2 linked regions of the Rhinolophus ferrumequinum genome follow. The protein of the gene in region 2 purifies or fractionates together with the protein of the main gene of each other region. This does not show direct contact. Links are inferred from orthologs where the notes say so. Each region holds a gene or a part of one and is shown on either strand. Other genes may lie near its edges. The genes, in order: PICK1 and ASIC1.

Evidence for each region.
Region 1: the proteins of ASIC1 (region 2) and PICK1 purify together in Homo sapiens (affinity purification with western blotting; 3 studies listed by BioGRID and IntAct, with this or other methods). This does not show direct contact. The link is inferred for Rhinolophus ferrumequinum from reciprocal best matches to the Homo sapiens genes ASIC1 and PICK1.

Annotation. Positions count from the first base shown.
Region 1 is NC_046293.1:8,942,608-8,957,493, forward strand, and holds the start of PICK1 (PRKCA-binding protein), read right to left. Parts: upstream 6,834-14,886; 5' UTR 6,611-6,833; exon of another isoform or gene 6,514-6,610; intron 6,376-6,513; 5' UTR 6,319-6,375; coding exon 6,278-6,318; intron 5,170-6,277; coding exon 5,058-5,169; intron 3,003-5,057; coding exon 2,874-3,002; intron 595-2,873; coding exon 528-594; intron 1-527. UniProt on the Homo sapiens protein: Probable adapter protein that bind to and organize the subcellular localization of a variety of membrane proteins containing some PDZ recognition sequence.
Region 2 is NC_046293.1:50,867,528-50,882,645, reverse strand, and holds the start of ASIC1 (acid-sensing ion channel 1), read right to left. Parts: upstream 4,425-15,118; 5' UTR 4,278-4,424; coding exon 3,621-4,277; intron 2,395-3,620; exon of another isoform or gene 2,305-2,394; intron 1,312-2,304; coding exon 1,161-1,311; intron 543-1,160; coding exon 415-542; intron 129-414; coding exon 1-128. UniProt on the Homo sapiens protein: Forms voltage-independent, pH-gated trimeric sodium channels that act as postsynaptic excitatory receptors in the nervous system, playing a crucial role in regulating synaptic plasticity, learning, and memory.

The sequences.
Region 1 (14,886 bases), about 42 Mb from region 2:
TCTTCAAGTTTCCACAGAACCAAGGCCCAGCCCCTACAGCAGCAGGCACCTTGTCCCAGGGCATGCTGGGGAGAGGGGCAGGCCTGTGACCCTCTGCCGAAGGCCCGAGGTCCAGTTCAGACCTCGAGATTTCCTGGGAGGTGCTAGGTGAGAGAAGGGGCCCAGGTGGAGTGCAGGTGAGCCCGAGGTGCTGGGCCAGGGTACTTCCAGTCAGAAGGTGAGTACCTGGGCTCTGGTAAGCTGAAGGGCTGGCTTACAAAGGACAACGCTAGGACAGTAAGGTCCCAGAGGAAAGGGCCGGGAGAAGGTGCGGGGTGAAACCAGAGACAGGTCCCTAGGAACAGCTGCAGGGACGGCACCCCCGGGTCGTCCCCCCACTCTCCCCTGCTCCTCCGCCCTGTAGATTGGCTTGGTCACAAAAGCCAGAGAGCACAGCCACGAAACTACTAACGCACTGTCATCAAGAGGCAGACCAGGAGCTGTGGGCTCGTGGAGCCACTGCACGCCACCGTTCTGGCCCAGCTTACCAATGTCCAGGGACATGCCCTGCTTGGGGTCCGCCTGCAGCTTGTTGTAGTGGATAGTCACCTCCCCCTGGAAAAGCAGGACAGGCAGAGGTGAGATGAAATCTCCTGGACAACCAGCCCCTTTCCCAGGGAAGCCTGGGAGCCCTGGAATCCGTGGTCGTGAGAGAATTCTGAGCTCCAGGAAGGGGCCAGAGCATGATGAATTCAGCCCTGTCGGGCTGAGGACTGTGACAGGGTCCTGCGCTGTGGCTGGTCGTTCCCAGGTCCCGAGGCCGTGGGGAATCAACAGGGACAAGGGCAGACACGGACCCTGCTGTCCCAGAGCTCACAGCCTGGCAGTCTCTGAGGTCCTGTGCTCCAGCCACATCAAGTCCCCTGCCCTCCCCCACGCCACGCCGCACTCCAAACCTTTGCTACGTCATTTGTCCCCACATAGAGCATCTTCTCCTGCACCCCAAATCATCCCCTTCCTCAGGGTCCCTGCGCTCACTCAGCGAACAGGTCTGAGCACTTTCGCGGTGCCAGGCGCTGGGATGCCAAGGAGCAGGAGCAGGGCCCTGGGCCCAGGCCAGGAGGGCCCACGCGGACCAGCAAGCCCCACCGTCGAGCCCTGGTAGTGACTGGAAGACAGGTGCCGGCTTCTCCCAAGAAGCCTTCCCTGACCACGTGAGGCCACTACGGTCACTCTGTCCTTGCAATCCTAAGACCCTTTAACTTGGGACCGAATCCATTCGAATACAAGACAGGATCTCAAAATGGAGTCCTGAAGGGAAATCAAAATGACCGATGTGGTCAGAGTCAGGGGTGGACGCAGGAGGCTCCCTCGGGAGGCAGCACATGAGCTGGGGACCCCCACAGATAGTAGTTGACGGGGGAAGGGAAGAGGCACCACAGCAGGGGTCAGCCCTGGGTGCCTGTCCAGCTGTGCGACCACAAGCAAAGCCCTTCAGCTGCCTCGGGGCACCAGCGAAACAGGGACAATATCCCTGCTTGGCACCCAAACAGGAGTGCGGGGAGATCCCTATGTCAATGTCAAGGCTGTGCATACCCACGAGGAACTCCTGTCCGTAAGGGAAACGCCAGGGGCTGGCGCGAGGCAGGACAGGGAGGGTCCTGATGAGCAGCGAGGTGAGGGGGCCCGGGGAGGACCCAGAAGGGCGCGCACCCCAGTTCTGAACCAGAATAAAAAACACTGCCCACCCCTTTCCATGATGGGCTCCTCCACCCAACAGGTCCAGTAAAACCCAGACCAGGTGGAGTGGCGTCTGGGCCCTAAACGAATGCTATCGTTTCCTTTTATACAACAGAGCCCTGGGCCCCCATCTGTCCCACGGCTAAGGGGCTGGAGCAGGAGAAACTATGGGATTGGACTCTGCGCCCTAAAGGCAGGAGGGAGAGTGATGGGGTGACGCAGGGGTGGAACAGGATAGTAAAGGGGAGAAGGCGGGGAAGGCGCTGGCCCTGGGCTAAGGCCGGAAAGAGGGGCTGGTGGCATCAGGTCTTCAAGACACAGAAGATGGAGCGGCAGTGAGGCGAGATTTGGATGGAGGGGCTGAGGTTCGCTACAACGCTTGGCCAGGCTCCACTTCCCGCTGGGACCCTTGACTCTCAGACTTTTAAATTATACTACTTTGCAACTCCTTCACTATATTGGTTTCCCAAGAGTTACTAGCAGCAAATCTCTGGGAAATGACAAAACGGCTGCACGCTTGTGCCTATGAGGGGCCGGGATGCCACCTATGATGTGGGAGCGGCCTTGGCCTGGAGCCGCTGGGTGGGGAGGCAGGGAACAGGTAGCGCGTGACTGTGATTTACAGAGCAGAAGACCAGCAGCTGTACCGGGAGCTGCCCCAGAGTCAAGAGGCCTTCCTGGGGGTCTGTGAGTCCAGGGGGACCCACTGGACTGGAAGTTCCTACAGGGATGGGCAAGACGCGCTCCTCTTTCCTTCTCGCCCCCTCCAAGGCCCAGCATGGCTCAGCTGACATCTAGTAGGTATCTATGACCCAGGTAAGTTCACCTTGGACTTCTAGCTTCAGGTCCAGGCCTAACTGGAGATACACTGGCTCTCCCTGAGGCATGGTTCCGAGTCTGACAGTTTACCTGAGAGCCTGAGGACAGGGACCTTTTAGTCTTGGCGCCTACTCTCTGGCCAAGGCTCAGCACGAGGCCTGGAGCATAATTAATATCTACTGAACAAAAGCAGGAGAAAGTGAGGGAGGCTGGGGAGTGAGCCAGACCCTCACGCTCTGTGGAGGGGAGCCTCAGGCCTGCTGGGGCCTCGGGCAGGTGGGAGGTCTCAGAAGTGGCTTTCCTGACTCAAGGTCCTCACCCCCCGCAGTCCTTACCTTCACTTCCTGAATCATCTTCGCTACCTCCACCTTAGTTTTTCCTTTGATTGACCTGCCATTGACACCAGTGATCTCATCGCCAGCTGCCACAGTGCCGTCCAGGGCTGCCGGGGTGTTGTCAAATACCTGGGGGTGCATAAGGAGGGCAGCGTGGGGGAGGAAAGGGAGAACTGAGACACACCTGGCAGGAGACAGTCCTTCCCTCCACCCCAACCAACATCCGGCTCTGTCCTGGCCACTACCCAGAGCAGGGTAGAGATGCCCGAGCAGACAAAATGCATCGCCCCACATTCTTAGGGAGGCGGAGAGAAGGAAGACAGAAGGTAAATGCAAACTGATGAGGCTTTCCTTTTCTAATGTCAAATACACCAAACCTCACACATCCATCTGAGCGTTTGCTCCTCCAAAGTCATTTCTTTAATAGATTTGACCAACAATGCTGTTCTGAGCTGAGTGATTCTGATTTAGCCAAAAATGACAAAATAACTACATTGGGAAGATGTGGTATGAAGAAGCAGAGTGGTTTTGGAAGGGCAAGGCTAAGCAGGAACATGGCAAGGAGGCCAGGCCTGGGGGAGGTCTCCCTGACACCTCCTGGGCTGGAAGAGGCCAAATCACTCGTGAAGGCAGCACCCTGAGCAGCCAAGACTAGGTTCCAGGAATCTCCATCTTCGAGGCCTGGAAGCGACTCCTTTGCAAGATCTTCAGAGACCAAAATTTCCCATCTGCCACCAACAGCTACTTAGCTGTTAGAACAGGTCAGAACAGGGTAGAAACCAGGTCAAGTCTGAGCATACTAGGTCAGACAATTAAGTTCACGAACTCATCCTATAAAAAGTGCTACATATCTCATTGCTGAATATCACTACCGTCACCTTCAAAGTACTCCCCTTGGGAAGCTATGGACTCCAGTGCCTAGTCCACCCTCCAAAGCAATTTTGGAACTCTATTTCTGGAATGGACTTCAGAGCTGTCGTCGTATTACCCTTGAGGTCCTAAATGTCATCAAAATGTCTTCTTTTCAATATTTCCTTTATCTTCGGGTAAAGAAAGAAGTCACTGGGGGCCAGATCAGGTGAGTAGGGAGGGTGTTCCAATACAGTTATTTGTTTACTGGCTAAAAACTCCCTCACAGACAGTGCCGTGTGAGCTAGTGCATTGTTGTGATGCAAGAGCCATGAATTGTTGGTGAAAAGTTCAGGTTGTCTAACTTTTTCACACAGGCTTTCCACCACTTCCAAATAGTAAACTTGGTTACTGTCCAGTTGGTGCAAATTCATAATAAATAATCCCTCTGATATCAAAGAAGGTTAGTAACGTCACTGCAACAAGTTCACGAACTTAATTGTCACACCTCGGATGTCCAAGGTGGCAAGCTTCCTTCCAAGGCTACAGAAAGGTCACTGCCTGTCTCTACTCCTGAGTCCCAGCTGACAGAATATCACCAGTGCAGCTTCCTCTACAAGGGACCACAAAATTGTTCACTACCACCGGCAGTTCATCTGGGAAAGTGAACAACTGCCATAAAAGTAGTAGCAGCTACTATTTAACGAGTGCTTATTAAGTACCGGGCATTGTGTCATGTCATTTTGTTAATCTTCATAACAACCCAAAGATGCTCATATCTACATATTTTATATCCCCACTTTCCAGGTGAGGAAACTGAGGCCCAGGGAGGGGTAAGTAACTTGCTAATAAGCAGGGAAGCTTACATTTGAACTCAGGCCAATATTATTTCAGTCTTTTAGTTTTTCCACTACACTTCACTTGTGCTAGTACCAAAAGCTGGTGGTTTGTTGATTCATTAAAGATATTTTTCTTGAAGTCCTAGTCTATGTCAGGCATTATACTAGGTACTGATAAAAAAGCAACCTGGGATCCTGCCCCAGGCACAAAGAATCTGAAAAAGCAGCTAGATATAAAACAACTAAAGAGCAAACCCATGATTACAGGTGGTGATAAGGACCGAGAAGAAAAAGAAAATACTGGAATAACAAAGAAAAACCAGGGCAGCCCTACTGAGAAGGGGTGGTCAGGAAGCCCTCTCTTAGGAGGTCAGACCTCAAGAATGAAAAGGAGCCAGCTCTGCAGAGTAGAGAAAGGAGCTCTTGTGTCATGGCCAAGTAGGGAGGTGGCTTGCTCTCTCCAGGACCTCACCCCCACCTCCAAAGCACCCAATACCTGGACAATGTAGAGGCAGGGACAGTACTGGGCCCCTCCTCCAATACTGATCCCAATCAGGTTCTGAGCATCCTTCTGCAGGGTCACCTTCCCGGGCACGGTAGGGATTCCACTGGAAAGAGAAGCACAAGAGGCTGAGTCCCCCGGAGGAAGGATGACTGGCGAGGATTGGGAAGGGGACGGGCCCTCTAAAACCCCAAGAGGCTCCAAATGCTGCACAGCCTTTTCTCTTTCTCATTTGGCCAGAGAGACAGCATTTTGTGCTGGAATGTGCACAGCTCTTGGAGTCACACAGACGTGGGCCCTCCTCCCAGCTCTGCCATTAATCAACTACGGGACTTGGGTAAGTCAACTTCTTTGCAGCTCAGTCTCCTCATCCATAAAATCATATGGAAAAAATGGCTACTTCATCAAAGTTATTGTAAGAAGTGCCTAGAAGGCACTTACCAACAACCCAGCCCATATCAAGCACTCCGTAAAAATAGGTCCCCCTTCCTTTACTTCATTCTACCTCTGAGGTTTAAGTCAGACTCTGTCCTTGTCACCTTCTCAGGCACATATGGAATGTTACGTCCACCTCCTCTGGGAAATCTTCTCCTGCTAAACTATCCAACACCTATCTCTCAATTGCCCTACTCAATCACCTCTCAATTTTTACTATAAATTAGCACTTACTTATGTTTTGTGGTAAATATTCTAATTCATTCACTTTCTCACAAACATTTGCTAACAACCTACTTGCGGTCAAGCACCTTATAAAGTGCTGAGAACACAAAAAGGCATTGGACCCAGTCCTTGCTCTGAAGGAGAATATATTCTAATGAGATTAACTTAATTTTTGAAAACGTGTCCCACCAATCGTCTACAGTGGGGAGGACAGTATGTTTACGACGTTTCTATTCATTCTTTGAAACCTGGCTCAATTGCCACCTCCTCGGTGAAGCCTTCCCTGAACATCCCTACATAGGCTGCATCTGCTCTGCTCTCCTTGTAGCCAGGTGATTCTCCATTAAGGCCCTATGATCCTGAATTGTAGTTATCTGTTGATGTGTCCACAGTCCCCTACAGATGGTGAGCTCCTGGAAGGGAAGGGTCGGTTCTGCTACACTACAAGACCTAATCCACAGCTGAAAAACAAGGGTCGGTGCAACTGGCAAGCCTGGGGTCTGGGGAACTTGGGGCGCCTACACTTTTGGGACTTGGGGGAACAAAATACTCACAGTTTATCCTCTTCGATATCATAATCCAAATCTGCAAACATGGTTCGGAGAGTTGAAGTGGGCTGGCTAACTGCCCAGTTCCGCAGGGGAATAGGGAGCTGGATCCGGGAGAGAAAGGAGCATAGGATTTAGGGAACCCAAGTGCCAAGATGTCAACCCCAACCCTGGCGATCCAGACCCTCCCACTCCCCTCTGGACCGTGGGTAATCCCTGTCGAGTGGCTAGGTGATTCTTACTAGGAATAGGGGGGGACTCCAGGCCAGGGCGCTGGGTTCAGATCCCAGATCTCTCCCCCGGGTCTTCAGGCACTTGGAGGCTGCCTCTGTCGCTCACCGGAAGCGTCGGTCCACAGCCGCGTCCCAGCCAGGCTGGCACCTGTACCCACCTGCCGTTCCACCTGTCGGCGGCCGTGACTGTCGCGTCACTTCCGGCCGGACACGGAAGTCCCGCCTTCCCCCCCGGGTATTTACCCCAGTCCCTGCAAGCAACTCTTCCCTCCCTGGCTCCCGGGACTCCCAGAACCAGGAAAGAGAACAAGTATTGACGGAAGCTCGCCGTTAGCATGAGAAAGCGGAAACAGAGGAAAGGTCTGGACAGTCTGACAGCGCTCAACCCCACCCCTTGTCCTGTGGCTGCCGCCATATTCATAAGGGCAAGGTTCTTCCCAGATTCCTCAGCGGGAAGCTGAGGACCACTGGCCCGGTGGTTGCCGTGGCAACGGAAGCATCCTGGGTGGGGAAACTTCCGGCGAAGTCCAATGGCCTACAAACCCTTCCACATTTTCCGCACTCTGTCCTAGGGTATTACCATTAATAGAATGACATGTCGGAGCCAGCGTAACCCCATTTTTGCAGACCAGGAAACTAAGTGCCAGAGAGGGAAAGGGATTCTGTCCGGAGCCACCTGCAGTTGGTACAAGATCCAGATCTTGACTTTGAGACTCTGACACCTAATCCAGTGCCCTTTTAACACCTGCATACCTATGTTCACAGATCTGCTATTAACGACACATTGGACAAGTTACCTCCTCTTTACATGCCTGCTTTCCCCATATGCAATCTAAGAGTATTGAGGTAGGGATGCTTTCTCTGGTATTTGGTGAAAGATTCCTCAACCCATGTCCTTTGTTAGCCCTCAGGAGCAGCTCCTCTGGGGTCTCACTGAGGGCCAGGAAATGCCATCAGTGCTTCACGGCCCAGGAGTTCGAATCTCGTCTCCCTGCCAGCCTCTGCAGCCACTGCTACTGTGCAAAGCGGGTTCCCTAAAGGGGGTTGGTGCTCACAGAGCCACAGCCTTGGCATCGATCTTGTCCAGGGAGCATGGGCCCAGGCCTGTCCAGCTTCCTTCCCTAGCTGCCCCGGGGGCTTTGGAGGAAGGAGAGAATCACAAAAATGATTATCTGCATATCCCATAGCCTAATGCGATCCCCACCACCTCCTCCTTAGGGAGTTAATCTGAGTCACAGCAGATGTTCAGAATGCCACAATAACAAAAACTGTCCCACGTACCCTGAACTGCTTTGCAGTTCAGATCACTTCCATGGGATTTTAAAGTTCACCGCAGCCCTGTGAGAGGAGAACAAGTATTGTCAGCTCCACTCTGCAGGTAAGGACCCTGAGGCTCAGGGAAACAGCTTCCCCTTGTGTCACAGGTGGCCCTAGGCAGAGCTAGGGCTGGAACCTCCAAACCCTGTTTGCAGGCCAGAGTTTCGGTTTTAAAAAGCAGCAGCCTCCAGACCCAGATACTTTCACATGGGCTGTGGCTCTCCCACCACACAATAGCTCTAGCTCAAGCCCGGACATTGCCATTTTGTAGCTGGGGGATCTTGGGCAAGTCACTGCATGACTCTGAGCTTTGGGTATCTGTAAACCGGGGACAGTGATCCTCTCCACAGGTACTTGTGAAGGTCAAGATAAAAAGGAGAAACAGGTGCGAGTGCTTTGTAAAGAATTCACATGGCACAGATTCACTCCGCCCTCTTGACCCCAACCTACTCAGGACCCTCTTCTCAGGTGAGGGCAAGATGCCCAGACCCCTCTTGTTTGCTTTATCTTCTCTCTCTTCCTACCCAGCTCTATCTAATCCACCTCTTCTGGGGAGTTTTACCAGACGATCCCAGCTCACAAAGCTGCCCCTTTTTCTGAGCTCCTAAAATAGTTGTTATTTAGATTGTTCACTTGAAAATTACTTTTGTATTGCCTTGGGAAATCCTGCCTGGCTTCTTTGAGCCATTAACTATTACATGCTTGTATTTTGTCTGGGGAAGCTTTTTCTCCTTTAAAATTAGGACCTAGGGCTCATATCTTGACAAATTGTGAACTGCTTCTCCCTGTCTATCCGGACTTTATACTCCCTGGCATTCACACCTTCCATAGGACGCTAAGAATCCATCAATAAGTGTCACTGTGACAAGAAAAAGAAAATCAGATTGCTTTGTAACGCCTGTTAGAGTGAAGTATTATGACCCACTTTATGTTTGTCAGTGGAGCGGGGTCTCCTGGGTCAGCTCACAGAGCATGGAACCTGTTCCAGCCAATTAAGGGGGTGAGGTTGGGACCATGAATTTATTTGAGGGGAAAGAAAGTTGGAGTACCATGTTCCATCACCAAAGTAATCAATTCTTGTATCCCCAGCTGGACAGGAAGCGCCTGGGGGCAGGTCTTGCCATTCTCTGCATCTTGCACACACCTGGAGCACAATACCTGGCTGTGGATGAAGTGCATAGAAATAGCTGTGGCTTTATATGAGATGGGACGGTCCCTCAGCCCTGGAGGAGAGGACATGGATGGGCAGAGAGGGAACGAGATGATGAGGGCCTGAACCTGGACAATGGCAGTGGCCTGAGCTTCCCCCATGGGGCTGGAATCACCAAGTATAGGTCCTGAATTTTGGAATTTCAGTTTTCAGCAAACAGCAACCTCCAACCTAGGAGTTTTAACATAGCCTGCAGCTCTGCCACCCCAGGACGACCCCAGACCAAATCCGAGCTCTGCTAATTTGTAGCTGGGGGATGTTGGGCCAATTGCCCTTTTCCTCTGAGCCTCAGGTATGTGCAGAATGGGGATGATGCCTCCCAAGATAGGAGTTATAAAGACGGAACTAAAAGAGAAAAGCGAGTCTGAAAGTGCTTTGTGAGCGATTCACTTGGCACAGATGTCAGAGGTTTTTATTGTCATTCCTCACTGTAATCATTTTGCCTGACTGCTTCAGAGGGCTGGGCGTAGGACACACCTAAAGGGCCATTGGATGCTCAGGCGCCTGCATCAGACTCATCTGGGAAGCGTCTTACGTGCAGATTCCTGGGCTCTGTCGCAAACCTATTGGATCCATCTCTGGGGAAGGAGGATTTTCACAAAGCTCCATGGGCCATTTCGTTGCTAACTGCAGCGGACGGCTGTCTCAGAGGCTCAGGATGTACAGTGTCTGTGCAGCCGGTGGGCCTGTTCCTCCTGAGGGTGAGGCCTCTGGTGCCAAGAATCCTTGCTCCAAAGTCCTCACATTAGGAGGAGCCAAAGGCCTGGGAAGGCTTCCTGGAGGATGCGACCTCTCAGCTGAGTCCTGAGGAAGGTGTACCCAAGGCAGGTGACACAGGCAGACGGCACAGGTGGTGCGGGCAGTGGAGGTTACAAGGAACAGTCCCTGTGCTCAGGAAGTCACTGTGGTGGGGTGAGGGGGACTGAAACAGACAGTAGGAGCAGTGACAGGGGTGATGAGGTCACTAAGTCCAAGTGAAAACTTGGGGAGAACCGTTATTTCTGCCAGAGTCACAGGTGAGAGGGGTCAACAAGGGCCTCAGAGGGGAGGTTTGAGCACCTGCTTCAAGATGGGTAGGATTGCAAGGGTTGAAATGGGGGCGAGGACATCCACCCACTTCCAGGAGGCTGAGCCAGGACTAGTCCTCAGACCCTCTCTGTCCAAGATTGCGCCTCCTCCTTCTCCCCTGCTCCGCTTTTGAGTCTACCCAGGCAGCCGGGTGACCTCTCACCTGGCCTAACCCTACCACTGAAAGCTGTGTGACCCCAATCTCTCTTGGGCCTGGGTCCCCTGCAAGATTCCGCCCCTCAGTTCCCAAACCTCAGGTTCAATCTGGAAAAGCTTGCCCCCCCAATCCAATATTCCTGGGGATGTGCTGCCACCCAGTGGCCATCAGGAGAAACACCCCCGGGGCACCAGAGTGGCAGGAGAGTTCCCCCCACCTGTCCACTCCTGTCCTTGTCACCGCCCAGCCCTGCTCAGGCTTTGTAGCCTGTAGGCGATGGATGAGGCTGGCTGTACGTGTGCCATGCTGTGTTGGACATGCGTACCCTCAGCACTGCTGTGGCCCCAGCACAGGGCCTGACTCACACTGACTTTGCAGACTCCTGTAAAGGGCAAGAAACGAGGGGTTAGTGGGTGCTGTTCAGCTGAGATACATAAGGCATGGGTTTTAAAATCGAACAGATAGTGACACAAATACCAGCAGCCAACACTTACTGGGCATTTACTGTGCATTGGGCCCCTTGCCAAGGTGCTTCCATTCATTGTCTCATGCGAACCTCACCACAGCCCTTTTAAGTGAGGTTAGTCATTCACCTATATATTCATTCATTCATTCATTCATTCATTCATTCGATAAATTGTATTAATACCTACTACGTCTAGGCTGACATTTCGGGGAACAAGAAAAGCAAGGTCCCACCCTGACATGAGTGGACACAGCAGTCCCTAAAACTAGGTAACACCTCCCACTTCAGTGCATTGGGCGAGGCCCCAAATCTAAAGGGGAGCCCAGTGGGAAAGGGTGCCAATGTGGACTTGTGGGGAGTTGGTGGTGGGCTGGACAGAGCATTGGCTGAGACCAGCTGTGTGACCACAGAAATGTCACTTGACCTCTCTGAGCGGTGGTCTCCACGGCAAAATGGCTCTCATAAGAGACCAAGTGTTGGTTTTAAAGTTAAGTCAGACCATGGCACTCCCCTGCTCGACCCCCTCCAAAGTCTTCCCATTACACGTGGAACAAACCCTGGGTCCTCACCTAGAGATGGAGGCCTGGCTCCTCCAGCATGTCGCCTACTCTTCCTTCCTGTTCACTTTCTGTTCAAGGGCCTCTGGCCTCTTGCTGTTCCTGGAACAGGCTGGAATATTTCCACTTCTGGGCCTTTCCTCTTACAGGTCCCTCTGCCTGGAATGTTCTTCCCCCAGGCATGCTGACTCCCTCACTTTACCCTCACCACTACTCACATGTTACCTTGTCAGGGAAGCCCTCCTGAGCACCCAGCTCAAGTACAGACCTGGCTCGTCTCTGTCAGGACCCCATTCATCCCCGCTGGGCTCATAGCACAGTTTGGGATGACGCATTTGTTTGCTTCTTAATCAGCTGCTTGGCTGTCTCCCCACCAGACTGCAAGTTCCCTGGGGGCAGGATCCTGGCCTGTTCAGGTCACACCGCTATTGCTAACACCTAGCATACCCCTAAGCTTGCGTACCTGGTTGGCACACACCTTTCTCTACCAGGCAGTAAAGTCCTTGATGTTGGGGTTGGGGGAAAGGAATGTGACAGAAGTCAGTGAAGAGCAGTGACAGCCGAAAGTCACACAGCAAGTCGCGGCCCTATGTACCCGGCCTGTAGGAATAGTCAGTGCCTTCCTATTGAGTGAACGAATAACCATGTCACCGAGCGCGGGAGCCCAGAGACTAGGCAGTGGTGGCGAGGCCCTCTGTCAGAATCCGGACTTGGCCTGGCACTGGGGAGCCACGGGAGACTGGCAGACAAGAGCCAGAGCAGCTGGATCTGTGCGTGGGCTGGAGCCCACTGGCTACCATAGCAGGTTGACCTGGGGGGCATTGTCCCTCCCTCCCTGAGTCTGCAGCAAGGGGAGTTAGCAGGGACAGGGCCGCTCGACTGGGAAGCTGGGGTTGGGAGGCAACAGGGAGCCTGGCTGGGTGGGTCAGCCCTGGGGTGGATGTGTCCGTGGGGCCAGATCCGCTAGGGATAGGAAAGCTTCTCCCACCTGGGCGGCAGTGGCTGACCAGGGGAAGGGGCACTGCGCAGAAGCATTTGCATCCTTCCAGAAGCCCACTTTCAGCTTTGATGGAGCCATGAACCTCATTGTCCTTGGGGTACTGGGCAGCTGTCCCCTCTATTCTCAACTGCCTCCTGGGCTGCCTCTGACCAGAGGTTGGATGTGGGCTTCCATGGGGCCCGAAGTCCCCCCAACGACCCCCAAAACTGCTCTATTCCTGGCTTTACTTGGCATATAATGGACTGACCCCTGACCTCCCCTCCCCCTCGCCTAGTGCTCTGCCCCCTGGGTTAGGTCAGTGATGAAAGCTGGTGGGAGCCCAGGGGGTTGGAGGGAGAGGGACAGTGCCTGATTGTTCCCTGCCCCTGGCGGCACGGCCACGCTGTCTGTGGAGTGACTGGCCCTTTGCTCTCTCATTCCTTCTGTCCCCTTTCCGCTCTTACTCTCACTCTCTGTCATTCTCCCTCTTTCTCTTTCTGTAGGTCAGGGGTTCTCCAACTCAAGTGGGACCTTAGTAACCATACAGATGCTGGGGCACCCCCAGAGATTAGGAATCAGCAGGTCCAGCATGGGGGCCCGTGGTTCAGACACGGGGCTGGGAAGCCTGGCAGGACGCTACATTGCCAGGAGCCTGGGACCAGAGACCTAAGACCCTGGGCATCGCTGGCCCTGCGCTTCCACTAAGTATGGAACGGACTCTTGGGATGCTCAGAGCCAAGCCAGCCTCACAGGAAATTACATGGGACACAGATGTGACTGTTTCTTCTTCCTCTTTCCCCTCTGCCCTGCCTCACCCTCACCTTCAATATCCATACGTGTCAGGCTCTGTTTTCTCCCATCGGTCCGGCTGTCCAGCTCGCACCAATGAATACCACACTGGCTCACTGCCTACAGCTTTAGGATAAGCCCTGATATCTGGCAGGGCACTGCCCCTCCCTCGTTCTTCAGGAGCCTCGGCTATTCTTAGTGCTTTGCCCTTTCTTGCTACTTTCAGAATCATCCTGACGAGCTCCACCAAAACCCTGTGTGTGTGTGTGTGTGGGGGGGGGGGTGATCAGGACTGAATTGAATCTAGAAATTAATTCGGGAATTTTTGTGACATTGAATCTCTCTATGCAAGTTAATGACTCTCTCTCTGCCTTTATTTAGGTCTCTCTTCTATGTTTTATTAAGGAAAATTTCGAGTGTACAAAATTAGAATGCAGCTCCTTTTACCCAACACCTAGCCTTACCAATTGTTCTTCATGCCCACTCTATTTTCAGCCGTAACCCTGTCCATTCCTGCCCATTCTCCCATCCCGGCCTTCATTATTTTGAAGCAAATCTTTGGGATCTTCTTTAACGTCTTCTAATAATATTTTTTGTCTTACCTTTCGTTTCCAAATAACTATAGATTGACAGGAAGTTATAACAACAGTACTGAGAGGGTCCATGTTCCCTTCACCCCATTTCCCTCAGTGGTGACATCTCACATCACCATGTACTTTACCAAAACCAGGAAATGGACATCAGTCCCATCCGCAGGTTAAAGGTGGCATTTTACATGCATTAATTCGTGCGCGCGTTGTGTTCCATGCAGTTTCATCACCTGTGCGGATTCAGAGAATCACCACCACAGTCAGATGCAGAAGTGTCCTACCTCGCGCTACTCATTGATAGAAACACCCACCTCCCTTCCCTCTCTGCTCCCCAATCCTCCAACCACCAATCGGTTCTCCATCTCTAGACTTTTGTCATTTTGAGAAGGTGACACGAACAAACCACACAGCATGTAACTTTTGGAGACAGGCTTTTTCCCTTCACACAGTTCCCTCAAGCTCCATCCAGGTTGTTGCGTGTATCAATAGTTCCTTTTCATTGCAGAATGAAACTCTGCATGTCCTAACCGACAGGCTTCTAGGTTTCCAGTTTTTGACTCTTACAGATAAAGTTGCCATGCACAATCGTGTACATATTTTTGTGTGGAAATGAATTTTTTATTTCTAACAAATGCCCAGAAGTGCTGTTGTTGAGTCACATGGTAAGTATATGTTTCATTTTTTAAGAAACTGCCAAACTATTTTCCGGAGTGGCTGTGTCTCAGTCACGTTTTATGCTTTCCTCTATAAATATTTTGTTAGATTCAATTTTTGTTAATATTGTAAATGGAGGATTTTTAAAAATTACACTTTGTTGCTCTGATGTTTATAAATGCAATTTCTATTGAAATATAATTTACACACCATAAAATTTTTTAAAGATTTTGTCTTTTTTTTTTTTTACTTTCTTATTAGGAGACTCACTATACCTCTTCCAAAGTTGGCACCCTAAAATTCATCATTTTAAAGTGTGCAATTCAGTGGTTTTCAGTGTATTCACAAGGTTGTATGCGCAACCATCACCACAGTCTAATTGCAGAACATTTTCATCACACCGAAAGGACACCTCCCATTTGCAGTCACCTCCCATTCCCTCCTTCTCCCCAGCCCCTGGCAACCATGAATCTGCTTTCTGTCTCTATGGATTCGCCTATCCTAGACATTTCCTATAAATGGAATCTCCTAATATGTGGCATTTTGTGACTGACTTCTTTCACTGAGCATAACATTTTCAAGGTTCAGTCACATG
Region 2 (15,118 bases):
CAGTTCTCCACCAGGTAGCGGGTCTCACAGTCGATGCGGCAGGCGGTGATGCTGTAGGAGTCGAAGAAATCCGAGTCCATGGTAACAGCTTTGCAGGTGCCCCAGGGCGGGGGCAAGTAGATGAGCTGCTGGGAGAGCCGGAGAGCTGGGGGGTGTGGGGACTTCTCCCCAAGTCACCTTGATGGACTTCTCTGACAAGATACAGAGCTCAGGAGTCCTGCCCCCTCTCCCTCCGCTGCCTCCGAGGGTCTCAGAGTTTAGAGAGCATTACAGTTCATTAGACAATTAATGCTTCTGACTAGTCAGGTCACTATCCAGGCCCTCGATCACTGGTCCCTCCCATTGGTGATTCCCCACACCCCATCTGGAGCCCTCAACACCCCACCCTGGGACCACCTCCTGTGGTTTGCTCACCCGCTGCTCCTGGCAGGCCACAAAGGTCTGGAACCCTGGGGCCACGCCAAAGCCCAGCTGGTCGATGAAGGGCGGTTCGTCCTGACTGTGGATCTGCACTTTGATGCCCGCTTCAAAGGACGTCTCGTCTGTGGGAAGGAGGGGGGTGTGTGTTGGGAGGGCTTCTGACTCCCGAACCTCCTTCAGAGCCGGGGACATCCTGCCTCTCCTGGGAATAAGCACAACATACACTGGGACTGGGGACCCAGCCCATCCGCAGCTTCCTTCTGGGTTCACCAGTCCCGTGCTGCCCTGACGAGCCCCGCAGCCTACACACTTCTTTCCTTACCTGGCTTCAGCTATGCGTCTTGCTGTTTCAAATTCTTTTTCACTGTCTCAGAGGTTCTCCATTTCTCCCCCTCCTTTTCTCCCTTCTCCCCCATCTCTCTCTGCCCCAAGGCCCCTGAGACCAGACAGACAGCAAGCAGCTCAAGAAGAGAAGGAGTTATTTATAGAGCGAGGGGCGGCCAGGGATGGAAAGGGATGGCTGGTTACCTTGGTGAGTAACTGAGCCAAGAAGGGGAAGCCAGAGATATGTGAGTGTGGCAGTCAGGTAGAATCGGAGATGGAGATGGTGAAATGCTGGGAGGGAAGGAGGAGAGCCCAAGCCCTGCCTCAGGTCCTACAGTGGATGGAGCCCAGGAGTCCCCTGGTGGAGGCTGAGGCCCAGAGCCTTGGGGAATGGTCCCCTGAGAGAGGTGACATACCAGTCTCCCCCCATACAGGCAGGTACTCGTCCTGCTGGATGTCTAGCATGATCTCCAGCCCATTGCCCGTTCCACCCTTCATGGTCTTCAGCCGTGGACGCCCATCTCGGCCTGAGTTGAACGTGTAGCACTTTCCATACCGTGTGAAGACCTGGCAGGGGCAGAGTGAAGAGCCTAAGAGGCCTGCCAGCACCCCCTACCCACCAAGATCTGTCCCAGGCCGCCCCCCAGTTGCTGGAATCACAACAGCCTTTAGGATTGTGACTGATTGCACCTGTGCAGCCCTTTCTCATTTGTCCTCCTTCCCACCCATCCTCTGCCCTGCTGTGTGCGCTGGAAAGCTGATCCCGGTGGGGTGCATTTCCTGTGCTCCTTTGCCACCTAGACAGGCTTCCAGTTGGGTTTGGTCACTGGGAGGGATTAGTAAGGAATAAAAGGGTAGAAGGAGAGAGAGGTCAGGGCACTTCTTCTCTCCCACCCTGTGCACCTCTGAGAGTGTTCTGGCCGTGCCTTAGACCTTCTGTGATGACAAATCCTGCCGGGAGGGCTCCCTGCATAGCCCATCGCCATTTTGTGCTCCTTCTACCTATGTGTGACAATTTCCCTCTACTGGTGGGTGCCTCAGGCCCCCTTATTGGTTTCCTTAACTCTGCCCACAGTTCTGTAAACAGTCCCTTTGTTCAGTTCTTTTCAGTTGAACTGAGTTGCAATCTTTTTCCTGCTGGGACCCTGACATATACACCTCCATCACCAGGATCCCATCACTGCCATACCCCTGGATTTTACCCCAGGCATCTGAAATCCTGTTCTGCCCAAGACCCCCCTCCAAACCAAGCTAAGCGTTTTAGTTGCCTCTAGCCATCACTGTCCTTCAGTGTCCCATTATCACCAGAACCTGAAAGTGGACCCAGTTGCCATACCAAGGACTATGTTCACTCAAGCACCAGCACCTCTTCCCTCAGCAGTTGGTCGTTTGGTATTGAGCACCCAGGGCATGGCATGTTTGGCAATGCTTGCACAGGCCTGTCAGGGCCTCAGAAGAGAGCGCCACCCTGGGGGCAGCCTCCCCACCCCATGCCCCAGAGCAGCCTTTATCGCCACAGAGAGAAGAGTGAACCAGTTCTTTATGGCCCTTTCTCCACAGCTTCCCTGAATGTCTCCAGGTTCCCGCAAGCGAGATGAGTGTGTTTTACTCCTGCGGGATGGCGACCAAGTCCACACAGCTGGTCATAAGGTGAGACACAACCCAGAGAAAGAGATAGAGTATCAGCCCAGACTGGAGCAGCAGGGGGCGTGGGGTTTACTAGGAAATAGAGTCCTTGCTTCCTTCCCTCTTTCTAGAACAGCCTCCTCCTCCCCCCTCCAGAAAAGAAAACACACTCTCCCCCATTTTGTGGGTGAGGTCCAGAGATGAGGTAGAGAGAGAACTCCAATGGCTCTAACTCCCCAGTCCCACTACCAGGGTTTTGTGGCACTCAGCCACAGGCTCCAGGCTGGACAAACACATTCTTGCCTACCCTCCATCTGGGCATGTGAGGGATTCCAGGCGGCTGAGGCATGCTCGGAGCTCCAGCCTTGCCCTGGCTCAGAGGACTGTGTTGCTGGCTGCTGGACTGCTGCTGCCATCTCGTGGTTCTGGCTGAGAAGTGTCTGCTCTACCCTTAGATACAGAGGAAGCCAGGTTGATCCTTTCCTCTTCCTGTATCTCCTAGCCTGTCTGAGGTCCAGTGGCCAAAACCTCCAGGTTCCCTGTCTGTCTTAAGTCAGTCCTGAAGGACAGGTGCGTGGGGAAGGAAGGCCTGACATCTGGCACCTGGAGAGGGCAGGAGAGGAATTAAGCCAGACAGACCGGAAGCTGAACCAGGGAGATGATGGGGTGCCACGTGGTCCCTCAGTGAGGATGCAATGACGTCCCTGCTGTAGGAGCTGCTGACCAGGGGTGTGGCGGGGTGGAGATGGGAACTGACCGCACCCCTCTACCTCCCGTCCACACTCTTCTCCTGTACCTCCAGAGACCAGGTGGCACCTGCCCCAGCTCCAGTCCAGGGATGATGGTCAAAACTGTTAAGGCTGGCACAGGCACCCACCATCAGATCAGAGGCTGACCTCAGAGGTGGAGCAAGGTCCAGGGCCTGCCTGGATCACAGGGAGGTCTGGACATGCTAGAGAGTATTCAGGGAGACACCAGGGGAGCAACTAATTACCAGCTAGTACAGATGTATTTCAAAATGCTAAAAAGAAGAGCAAGACGGGTTCAGACCCAGGAATAGCAGCCCAGCTCCAGACCCTGGGGCTCCTAGGTAAGCCCTGGCCTCTCTGAGGCATGTCACAGAGGGTGAGTGGTCCAGATGAGTTGGGGGAGGGGCAGGACCCACCAGCCCCAGACCCAGGAAGTCACGGTCAGGGTGAGCCATGGCAGACATTCTGGGGGTGCCGTGCCAGGCATGGGCCCCCACTCACCACCGAGAAGTTATGAGGGCCGCAGGGCCCCCCGCGGTAGGAGCAATAGAGCAGCATATCTTCCAGCCGGTGGCAGGAACGATTATAGAAGCGGTGCAGGTTAAAGGGCTCCCCAGAGAAGGCCTCGGGCCCTGGGGGGGCGAGGGGCACCCCGGGGTCATCACTTTCGTCCAGCCCCAGCATGGGGGCCAGGTAGAGCAAGTCGGGGTAGCTGAGCTGGGACAGCCGCACGGCATTGGTGTTGCAGAAGGTGACCGCTGGGAAGGCCAGCTCTGTGGTGGCCACCTCGTCTAGCAGAGTCACGTGCGGGTAGCTGAGGTAATAGGCAACGCGGTCTCCTACCTGACACAGGAAGGCACCCAGTGCCAGGACAAAGGCCACTGCCCACAGGGCCTGCCTCGGCCCTGGACCCCCCTCCACGAAGACGTGGTTGGCACCATGAAGGGTGCAGCTGCTGGCAAAGGCCACCAAGTCCATGGGCAAATCCCCCTCTCTGGCCTCCTTCCTCGCTGCCTCCTTTTCTTTCTCTTCTTCTTCCTCTTCCGTTTCTGAGTTTTCCCGCTGCTGCTGCTGGTGGGGACCCCAAACATCTCCCAAGGGCCCTGGGGCCTCCTTTCCAGAGGAGAATGACACAGAGCAGAAGATATGGATGGGCATCTTCTCCAGGGGCCTCCTGGCACCAGGGGATTGGCAGGAGAAAGGGAAGGAGAGGTGATCCCAGCAGGCTCCAGCAGGGCCAGCCACCCAACCCTTCTGCCAGGTCTCTGCCACCCACCCGGCTGGCTGTGTCCTTCCTCACCAGGGCCTCTGTGGCAGTGTGGCGGAGGCGGGGCAGGGCGGGGCGGGGCCTGGAGAGGAGGACAGCCTGCCCTGCAGGGAGGGCGGTGTCTGGGCCGATGAATAATTGATGGCAGTGGGAAAGGGAGGCTGATGGGGAGGAGGGGGGCCGGAGCCCCTTTCCTGTCTCCAGCTCCAGCAGGAAGGAGAGGGTTGAAGACAGAGTGGAACCCCTAGAAAAGCCTAGGGATTCTTGGTACCCACCTCCCCAGGTGGGACCCAGCAAAGTCCTTTGCTCCTCCTCTGAGGTATCTGAGCCCCCACACTCTGGGCACTGTCTCAGACCTCTGACTCCTCTCTCATTCCCCCGCCTCATGATTCCCCCAATTATTTCAGTGACCCTCCAATTCTCCCAATATCCCCTTAGACCCCAGTTCCCCTCTAATTATTCCTTTGATTTTCAGTTTCCTTCTAATCACTGTCCTGACCCCAGTTTACTCTCAGTTACTTCCTGAACCCCTAATTCCCCTGCAGTAAGTCCCTGGACTTCCAATTCACCTCTAGCCAGTCCCTGACCCCATTTCTATTCTCCACACTCCCCTGACCCATCTTTACTTCACCCTCCCCCCATGCAGGGCTTCATTTAGGTCACTATCCCCTCCCCCACTCCCTTCTGTGGCTTGGGGGGCAGCCCAGGTTCCATTAGCACAGGTCTCTCACTGACCACAGACTCACTTATGCTCTGTTCCCGGCACTGGGGGGAAGGACCCCTATCTCTTGCAGCTGAAAAGCTTCTTGGCAGATTACCGCTCCGCCTTCCAGCTTGCCCACCCCCCACCTCAGTCCAGGAGAGGAGTTCAAGGAATTCTGTTCTGGTGGGTGGAAGAAACTGAGATCAGAGCAGAGACAGGGTCCTGGGTCAGGTGGAGAATGTTGGGAACCAACCCGGGGAGCCCCCAAATCCTCAGCCTCACACACATCCCAGCCCCTCAGGCTCTGAGGCGTCCCTTACCCTCAATTTATCATTCCCTGCCCCCAGACCCCTGGCCCCTCTGTGGGCTCTGATTACTCAGGGCCACTGGTTGAGGAACTTGAGCCACCAGCAAAGTCTCCAGGGCCTAGAAGGTGACCTGAGGGGAGGAGAGAAAGGGAGGGAGGGAGGTGAAGCATGTTAACCCTTCCTCTGCGGGTCCAGTGGGGGTCAGACCAGTCTACTTTGGCTTTCCGCTCTGTAACCATCCCACAGCCCCTGGTCCCATTTCCCCCCTCCTTCTCTCCCGTCCCTCCCTGCTCCCATATATCTTCCCTTCTCCATTTGCCTGCAGAGACCCTGGGGTGTGTAGGGAATGGAAGGCAGGGTGCCAGGTTCTAGCAGAACTGACTGATGTGGGACCTTTGGCCCCAACTTTGCTGCCAAGGACACAGAGGCCCCAGAGAAGAGCAGCCTTTGAGATCTGGCCCCTCTCCATCCTTATGCCATTGCCCTCAGACGGGCCTCCTCGTCTGCCTAAACAGCCTTTCAATTGGTCTCCCCAACCTCCGGAACCTCCCTGCCGCTTCTCCCCACCTTCAGTCCATGACATGTAATGCTTCCCATTCTCCTGTTGAAAGAGCTTTTCTCACTGCCCAGTGCCTCTTGGGAAAATTCAGCCCCCATCCCACAGGCCTTTGTAACTTCCCTTCCAGTCTCACCTCGCCTTCATTCCAGTCCAATGTCCGGACACCATTCCCTTCTCCCATTCCGCAGACACACGAGGCTTATCCATAGTGTCATGCCTTCCCTGGACTCCATCTGGAGAACTTCTACTCATTTTTCAAGACCCTACTCACACATTCCCTCTTCCAAGAAGACTTCCGTGACCCCGTAGGGCACAGGTAGAGCCCACCCAGGGAACAGACTAACAGGTCCAGTTCTGCTCAAGGTCCTTCAGGCAGGAGTAGTGACCAGTAGCGCCTTGAGGACAGGGACCGTGAGAATGAAAGAGCAGGACCCAAAGACCACGAGGAGAAACAGGAACCGAGAAAGACCAGGGCCACCTAGGGCAACCAGAGATAAGTCACTGCAGAGGTGAAGAGAGACCCTCACCTGCAGCTGTTGTTCTCAGGCTTCTCCTGCATGAATTCATAGGTTCCTTTTCTGTTTTCTGTGCCACGTACATTTTCATCCTGCCTACCAGACCTCAGCTGTCAGAGGGCTTTGCATGGCCTCAGGATGTGTTTCAGACGTGAGTTCCCCACGCGGATTGGGGGTGGGGCCAGCCGAGGTTGAGTCTTGGACTGAGGCAGCTGCAGCTGCCCATGCATTCCACACCCACTAGAGGGCACTGTCCCTGTCCTCCAGACTTCCTGGCAGGGGAAGTCGATTGGACTTCCAGAAGGAAGACACAAGGCAGGGGCAGCTTCCAGTCTGGGGCCTCACCAGAGAGAAGGGCCTGCACACACAGAACAGCTTCAGAGGACAGCAGATCTGGCACGGCTGGACGCTTCTCCCTCACACCACCGCAAAGACCCACACCACACATCTACTCGTCACTACACACAGACACGCAGCCCTCTTGCGGGGCAACAAACACACCAACGCAACACGTACCCTAACTTCCGCCTCCGTCGTCTAACATTCGGTCCTACCTCAGTTCGTCCCAGTAGACAGATCCAAACTTTTCACAGTAATGGGGAGAGGTGGAAAGTATCAGGCAACACACACAGACCCCCAAGCATACACAGGGGGCCCCTGTGTATGACGTGGACAAGAACATTCATAGTAGCTTTATTTATAACAGCCCCAAACTAGTAACAACCCAAATGTCTAGCAAGAGTAGAATGGGTAAATAAATTGTGGTATATTTACATGAGATACTACACAGTGCTGAAAAAGAACTAACTACTGCAGCACACAACAGTGAGATTGCATCTCACAGACATAAGCAAAAAGACAGACACAAAAATGAATATACTATATGGAGGATACATATAGTCTAGGAAGTTCAAGAACAGGTCAAACGTATCTAGACTGACAAAAGTCAGAATAATGACGAACTCTCGTGCAGTCGTATTGACTCAGAAAGGGTCTGCAGGAAATTTCTGGGGTGCTGGAAATCTTTTACGCTTTTATAGCAATGTAAATACATACCAATGTAATATGTAAAACGTTAAATTATAAGATACACTAATATAAAAATATACTAATGAAAAATTAATCAAGTTATACCATTAAATCATACCCTCACAATTTAAAAGATGAAGAAGGCTTCGGATTGAAACTTGAGTATTGCCAACATTTCATGGCCAAGTAGAATAGAATGAACTGGCAAAGAGACAGAGGAGTGGCTAGACAAAGAAAGAAAATCAGAAGAGTATGATTGTCAGGAGAGGAATGGTCCAGAAAAGAGGTGGTGGTCAACCATTCTGAATATTATTGGGAGATCAAGGACAAAAAAAAAGTTTGCAAGATTTGGCAACACAGGGGTCACTAGTGGCCTTAGCGAGAACCATTTTGGTGGCGTGCTGGGGGTAGGGAAGCATGCCGTCTCGAGTGGCTTAGAGAATGAGTTAAAGATGAAAACTGGGAAGACGGGAATATATACATTTCGAGGAATATACAGTGGAATATACATTTCAAGAATTTTGTCTGTGAAAGGAAGTGGAGAGAGAGGGTGAGAGTTGGGGCTGGGGTGTGCTGTGGAGTTTAGACATTTGTAATTTTGTTTCTATCTTAATCTAAAGCCTGATACACAGTAAGTGCTCAATAAATGTTAGCTGTCATTACAGCTGTATAAAGATGGGAGAATCTTAAGCATGTTTCAATGTCAATGGGAAGGATCCACCCGAAAGGGAGAAACTGACAGGAGAGGAGAGAGAGAGGCAGAATCTTTAGGGTGAAATTCCTGGAAAGATAGAAGGAGATCAGATGGAAAGAATAGGTTGAGATTTCAGCCTAGAGAAGATGGATGTTCCCCTCTGGGGACTGCTTCCCAGAGGAAGGGGAGATGTTCTCGAGGCTGCTATCTTCCCTGTGAAGTAGGAGGCAAGGTTATCTGCTGAAGGTGAGAAGAGGGCTGGAAGGGTGCCTATTTGAGAAGAGTGGAGAAGTTTGCAATAATCATTGGGGAGAGCAAGTTGACCAGGAAAACACAGTGGGGTTGCCAGGCAGCCCTGCAGACCCGGTTAAGGATGTTGGTCATACACGCAATGTGATTCCAAGCTGGCCTGTTGTGTGACTTCCTCTGGTAGAGCCCTGGAGCCACCCTGAGGAAAGCCGGAGGTGGTTCCATCTAAGGTTGGGACATGTCCAAATGGTGCAGTGAAAAGGGAGAGGAGTCAAAAGACTTGGTGTCCTCAACCTGAAGCTGGGATTCCTTCTCCTTTGCACGCTTTCTTTCCCTTCCTGCCTCACCACACTGCTTCTTTACAGAGCACAGGCAGTGGGGGAGCCTGGAGCTTTCTCCACCACACGCCACGCTCTCGCTCCTATAGTCATGCACAAAGAACCTGAACGTCGAAGATCTGAAGTCAAGGTCCCACCCTGTCATTTACTGACTGTGTAACCTCAGACAAGTCACCTAATACCTCTGAGACTCAGTTTCCTCATGTTTCAAATGAAGATATTAAAGTCTTCCTGCCTCCCAGAATTATGAGGATCACATGAGCTAAAGTAAAGGGAATTTGTAAATTGCAAAGCGCGCCCCTGAGAGAGATGATTGATTTCGCTGCTATGTGCTCTGCATGCGACCAGAGGTTCCCCGCACACAGGCTCCCTCCCACAGCCACACAAAGCAGGCTGCGTGCCCATGCGCACGTCACACACGTCCACTTCACACCCTAGTCTGCACCCACATTTTCCCACTCAGATGGGCACACAGGTGCACATGTGTGCTTGCACACGTGGGGCACACATGCAGTGAGTGTGTCACGACGGAGTCTGAGTTGGCTGCTGTCCATGGTCAAAGCCACTGCAGCAGTCTCTCCCCTAGGGACATTCTCAGCCTGACACGATGATGCGACACACCAATTAGACACACATACACACACACACACTCTACGCAGCCCAACCTCCCAGGTCCCCAGGACTGTCAGCCACATCCAGGGGGTGCAAATGAGACGGGGTTGGGGTGGGAAAGGGTTTTCTTTCCAAGAACTATAAGAGCTCAAAAAAATCACAACATCCCCTCCCTCTCCCTTGGGAATGGTCTTGGAAAGGCTGGGGGCGGGGGGGGGAGGGGACAGAGTTCTTAAGGAATACACAGCAGTTTCAGGTTCATTTTTAAATTTCTCTGTGAGGAAGATGTCTGATCCATGTGTCCTGGACAGCCAGGACGGCACATCCATCCTACACGTGGGCCGGGATGGGCTCAGCCAGTCCCTGAGGCTGAAGCAGGGGCTGCCCCTTGGCAAATAATAATTTAACAATCCACTTAGAGCCCCCTTTCTTCACAGGAAATTGGGCCTACAAGCTCTGAAATGGAGCAGATGGAACTATGTCCAAAATAGAACCCAGGAGTCCCAACACCCAGCCTCATCCTCCACCTAAGCTAGGCACCACTTCTCATTCTTGCAGCGTTCTCCCCAGTTTTGCCTCCCAGAATCCCTATGCAGGGGTCCTGACTGGAAGGTTCTCAGCCAGAGGGTCGAAAGAGGCTCCCGGAGGGGCTACCTCAAACACATAGTGAGGGAAGGCTTGTGTCGGGGGGCCTGGCCAAAGGCAGGCAATGACCCTCGCTGAAAAGGACTCGGCTGATCATCCGCTGGGGAAGGCTGGGGTGAGGGACACACCACACGTTCTACAAAACTGGACTTTCTGAATAGCTGAGCTGGCTGGGGAGATTGCAGGGACTCTACTCAGATGTCGAGAGTCCTCTCAGCCCTGGCACCATACTCCTTGCTCCAAAGGCTTTTGTTAGCACCACCCACCCTCTCAGCTCTGCCCTCACTCTAAGCTCTCTGAAGGCAGGGACAGGGTGTGTCTGTTCACCACCCGCTCTGGCACCCAGCATGTGCCTGGCGCTTAGAAGGGGTTCTGTTTGTGACTGGAATGAATCAAGTGGAGCTTGACAGGCCTAACCCCAGCTCCTCCTTCCTAAAAGACACCTTTCCTCCCCCCTCCCCCAGAAGTCAAACTGCCTTCCACAAAAATCAAAGCATGCTCAGAAGCAACCCTCACCCACAGCAGAACCTCTTGCCCTCTTTGCAAGCCTCTCCTCTGCTTCCTGGACACAAACCAGATGCAAAGGGCCATACCTTCCAGTTCCCCACAGGCCAGGGCAGGAGAAAGGCCCAAGGCAAGGAGGTGTTCCTCCTGCCCACCCCTCCACTTCCGGCTCTGTCCCCAGAGGCACTTAGTTACTTACATCAATTCCCTATTACTTTAGCCAACAGCCAGGAGATCAATTAAGTTAGAGTAGCCTCTTAGCTGACTGCAGTCTGGGAGAGGGGTGGAGTCAGAAATGGCAGGGGAGGAAGAGGGCAAGGAGATGAAAGAGGAAACTGTTACCCAAAGGGGTGTGTGTGTGTAGGAAAGAGAGAGCCCACCCTCGGGTCCTCTGGATTCTTGCTACTGGCTCTACTTCAGTATCCTCCCTCCAACATCAGGCTCTTCTCAGCGAGAGAGAGAAGGGAAGGATGGGAACGAGGCTGGAGGAGGTATCCAGGAACCCCCAGGGCAGGAGTGCCCCTCCTCCGAACTTAACCTCTCACGGCAGGCTCTCCTTTCCCTCAGCAATCTGTGCATGTTCCCCTTTCGGCATCCCTACTCCCTCCCCACTGCACCCAGGAGGACTCCTGGGCCTCTGGGTGGGGTTGCCCGTGCCCCCCTTCCTCTCTGTGTGGCAGTCCAGGCAGCCTTTGCCCTCAACAGTCCCCTTACTCCCTACCTAGCTGGAGGGAACAGACCCAGGTAGTAATGTTGGGCCCTCCTCAGTGACTCCTGCTCTGGGCTGCTATGGTGGGGTGTATGGGTGTGAGGGGTATGGATAAGGGGCAGAGCTAACGCTGGGGATAAGCAAGCTTCCTGCTAGTCCTGGCTCTCTCGGGGACATGCCATCCCAGGCTCTGCTTGTCTTCAGATGACCTCTCCCTCCCTGTCTGGGTCCCAGAACAACCCACCTACACCCGCCTCTTATATCAGCATCTCGCCGCCCTAGACGCTCCAGAAGATTCCTGTCCCCCAAAACCTCAGAGGGATTTCGGTATCCACCCCTCATCCCACCTCTCCTCTGGGGGTCCTGGGGGACTCCTATGGGCCCCTCAGGGATTCCTGTCCCCCCCATCCTGGTTCCCCAGTTCCACACCCTTCCGAGGGAGAATACTAGCCCCACTGCACACCCATCCTCAGGATTCCCAGTCTCTGCCCTCCCCTTTCTTCTCTTCCAGGGTCCAGAAATGAATATCTGCTTCTCTCTCCCCCAGGCAGAAGCTCTGGGTGTCAGCTGGAGGAGGAGGTGGCATAGGGCAGACTGGGCAACCATCTGCCAGCCCCCTCCCCTCGGTGCCTTTCAGCATTCCAGCCACATTGGCACTGCCACTGCCAGGGACAGATAAGGTGCAGCTGGAGGCTGACACCAGCTGCAACTGTGCTCAGTCCCTCCAAACCCCACAAGACACCAGCAGACAGCTGCACCCCCGGGGGGCCCCTTCATGGAACCTCTGCCCTGCCTTGGACTGACTGGCCTTGAGGTGCGGGGTGGGGGGGGAGAGTGGAGCCTTGGACCCTGTTTCCCCACCAGGAAGGAAAAGCGGTGGCCAGGGAGGACGGGGCCTTCTGTGTAGGTCTCTGGTTGCTCTTTTGGTAGTTCAGGAGAAAGCTCTGAGGCCTCACCAACTGGGGTGCTGGGGGGATGCTCTCCCCATTGCCCTCTGCCTCTTCAGTTGCAAAGTTTTCAACCAATTCCTCCCAGATTTAGCCTATTTCCCCCTATTCACCCCCACTCTCGCAGGCTGACTTAGCCACAGCTGGGGGATGCACCCACCAAACACCTTTGACCACCAGACTACCCTTGAAGTTGAGCTGGACTCAGAAGCACATCGGGGGGTGCTTGTCACTGCAGACCCCCACCAGGAGGGTTGGGTCTGTGACAGACCAGAGTGTACCATTCCAATGTCCCCTCCAGAAGCACACACACAACCTCACACACACCTTCAAAGCACCCTCCCATACAACCTCTCACAGGTTGGAAGAGGGTTGCCCTTGGAAACCTGTGTAAGACTTCCCACGTGCCTGTGCACACTGTATTTTGCAAACACTCTGAGACAGGGCTTTGACCCCCAGTTAAGAACCTCTGCTCATGAGGTGGCAGAAAGTGCCAAGATGGTCTCCCCTAAGCTCTGACCAGATAGACAGATGTTTTCTGTCAGTGCCACATCTGTCCAGGGGCTAGACACACACCTTTTGGTGTAGCAGAGGATGGCAAGGATGGAGACCCAGGAGAGGAGAGAGAAGGTGGAGGGAGCATCAGCCACGGGGTGTCTGCACCCCGTAGGACCAGGGAGCTGGAGGGGCGTGCCAGAGCCCTTCTTTTCCACTAGGGAGATGTCAGACGTGGACTCACAGCCAAACTCCCATCCATGCGTGTAGGAACATCCCTAAGGGCAGAAGTGGTAGAGTTCCTGACATGGAAAGGGTCTGGTCAATCAGAGAGGGTAGAAGGAGGGGCAGAGACGTTTGGTTCCAGCCAGATTTGGGGTCAGGTGTTTGACATGGGCTCAGACACAGCAAAAACCTGTCTTCTCTGCCAACCCATAACCAAGAAGTGCCAGTGTGGGCCGGTAGGTTCCTAGCCTGTATATCTTTTACCCCAGCAAGAGGAAGAACTCAGATTTGCTCCAGAACTTTCTGAACCAATCATATTTCCATCTAACTGCTTAGAATTGTCCCCTCAGACAACACAGACCAGTCAGTCACATTTCAGTATCTCCATTTCCATGAACCACTTGGAATCTTCGCATCACCACTTGGAATCTTTCTGGACACGAGGGACAAATGGAGCAACTGAACATTTTCTATGGACGAACTACATCCCCATTTTATACTTTAGCACCTTCCCAGCTTGAGCCAAGCAATTCCTTCCCTTCTCCAAACACTACAAACCATCAAACACTACAAACCAAGTTCATAAGTTTTCTCTGTCTTTCTTGGTGGCTCCTTCTGCTTGTACGTTGGGTAGGTTGGAGAGGAGGGCTCTGGCTTTCAGTGCCACCTTTACCTACAGTTCTACTACTCGTGGGAGCACAGCTGGTGAGTCTGGGAACCCTTTGGTCTCAGGTTCTGGGGAATCCAGGACTCTCCTGTTTTGAGGAAGGAAAAACGGGAAGAAAGTGGTCCTTGCATCACACTAAGTTCCCCATCAGCTTGGCTCAGCAAGACGTGTGTTCATGTAACCTTTGTCTGGTAGATTTGACAAAGGCCCATGAAACTGGTCCACATAGCAGGACTTAAAAAGATTAGGAAGTCTTATTTATGTAAACTGAGTAGGAAAAAACATGCATGACCATGGCTCCAACCTTTCTACACAAACAAATACAGTTCATGCTCCCGTATGCTAGGAGGAAGCACGCAAGTAGGGGAGAAAATGGGCAGGGAGAAAAGGGAGGCTCTGAGAGTGGGGAATTGAGGGCAAGCATGGAGAGCAAGGAGGTCCTAGGGGAGACGGGGTTTTCAAAGAGCAATAGCCAGAATTGGAAGGGGACACGATGACTCCAGGGTCAGCAGTATTAATGAAAAGAGCACACTGCATTGGGACTTAACGAGACATGTTCTAATCCTGAATCTGTCACTAACTGGTTATGTGAGCTCAGGGCAACTCTTTCTCCTCTCTGTGTCTCAGTCAGTGTATTTGTAAAATAGAGACAGCATGGCTATTTATCCAGGGGATTGAAAGGGAGGCTAGAAAGCATTCTGAAGAGTTACGAGCATTGTCCTCTCATTTGGTATTATTTTTTATACATGGCTCCAGGTCCTCTGGTCCCTTTGTAGCCTCTGTGTGATTCTAACCCCTCAGGAACCTGTATGATTTGCCCAGAATCACCTGGAGCATGAGGTGCCAGTCAGCTTCCCTAACCCTTTCTGAGGTTCTGGCTTTGAGACAGCCCCATCTGTGGGGGTGGTGTCTGTGGGGCATCTCCATTTTAAGAAGTAAAGGGAGCCTCCAGTTCAGTCAAGATTGTGCACCCCAGATCCTTCTCCTTCCTCAGATCCTGGCTCTGTGGCTCTTGCTGGCAAGGGGGTAACCCAACTGGACAGTGTATGTGTGTGCGCGTGCGGCACAGAGAATCACCTGTCTAGCTATTTAAGAGAAAGCGTCCCTTCTCATATTTCACAGTGCTTCTCAAACTTTAATTTGAATCACCTAGAGATTTGTTAAAATGCAGATTCTGATTCAGTAGGTGGAGTGGTGACGTCTGCATTTCTTTCAAGCTCCCAGGTGATGGTCCTCAGATCTCATTTGAGTAACAAGTCTGCCACTTACCCACCACCACCCCCAGGTCTGACACCTGTGGCCCAGAAGGTAGCTTGATGGGGTTGGGGCCGTGCCAGGCGGTCTCTCTCTCTCTCTCTCTCTCTCTCTCTCTTTCTCTCTCTCTCTCTCTCTCTCTTTCTCTCTCTCTCTCTCTCTCTCTTTCATACTATGGGCTCTCTTTCTTGCCATCATGGACACAAGGCTGAGGCTCCCGCTCTCACACAGAGCAAATGCACCCCTATGCTGAACAAAGTCCCCTCCTGCCAGAAGAGA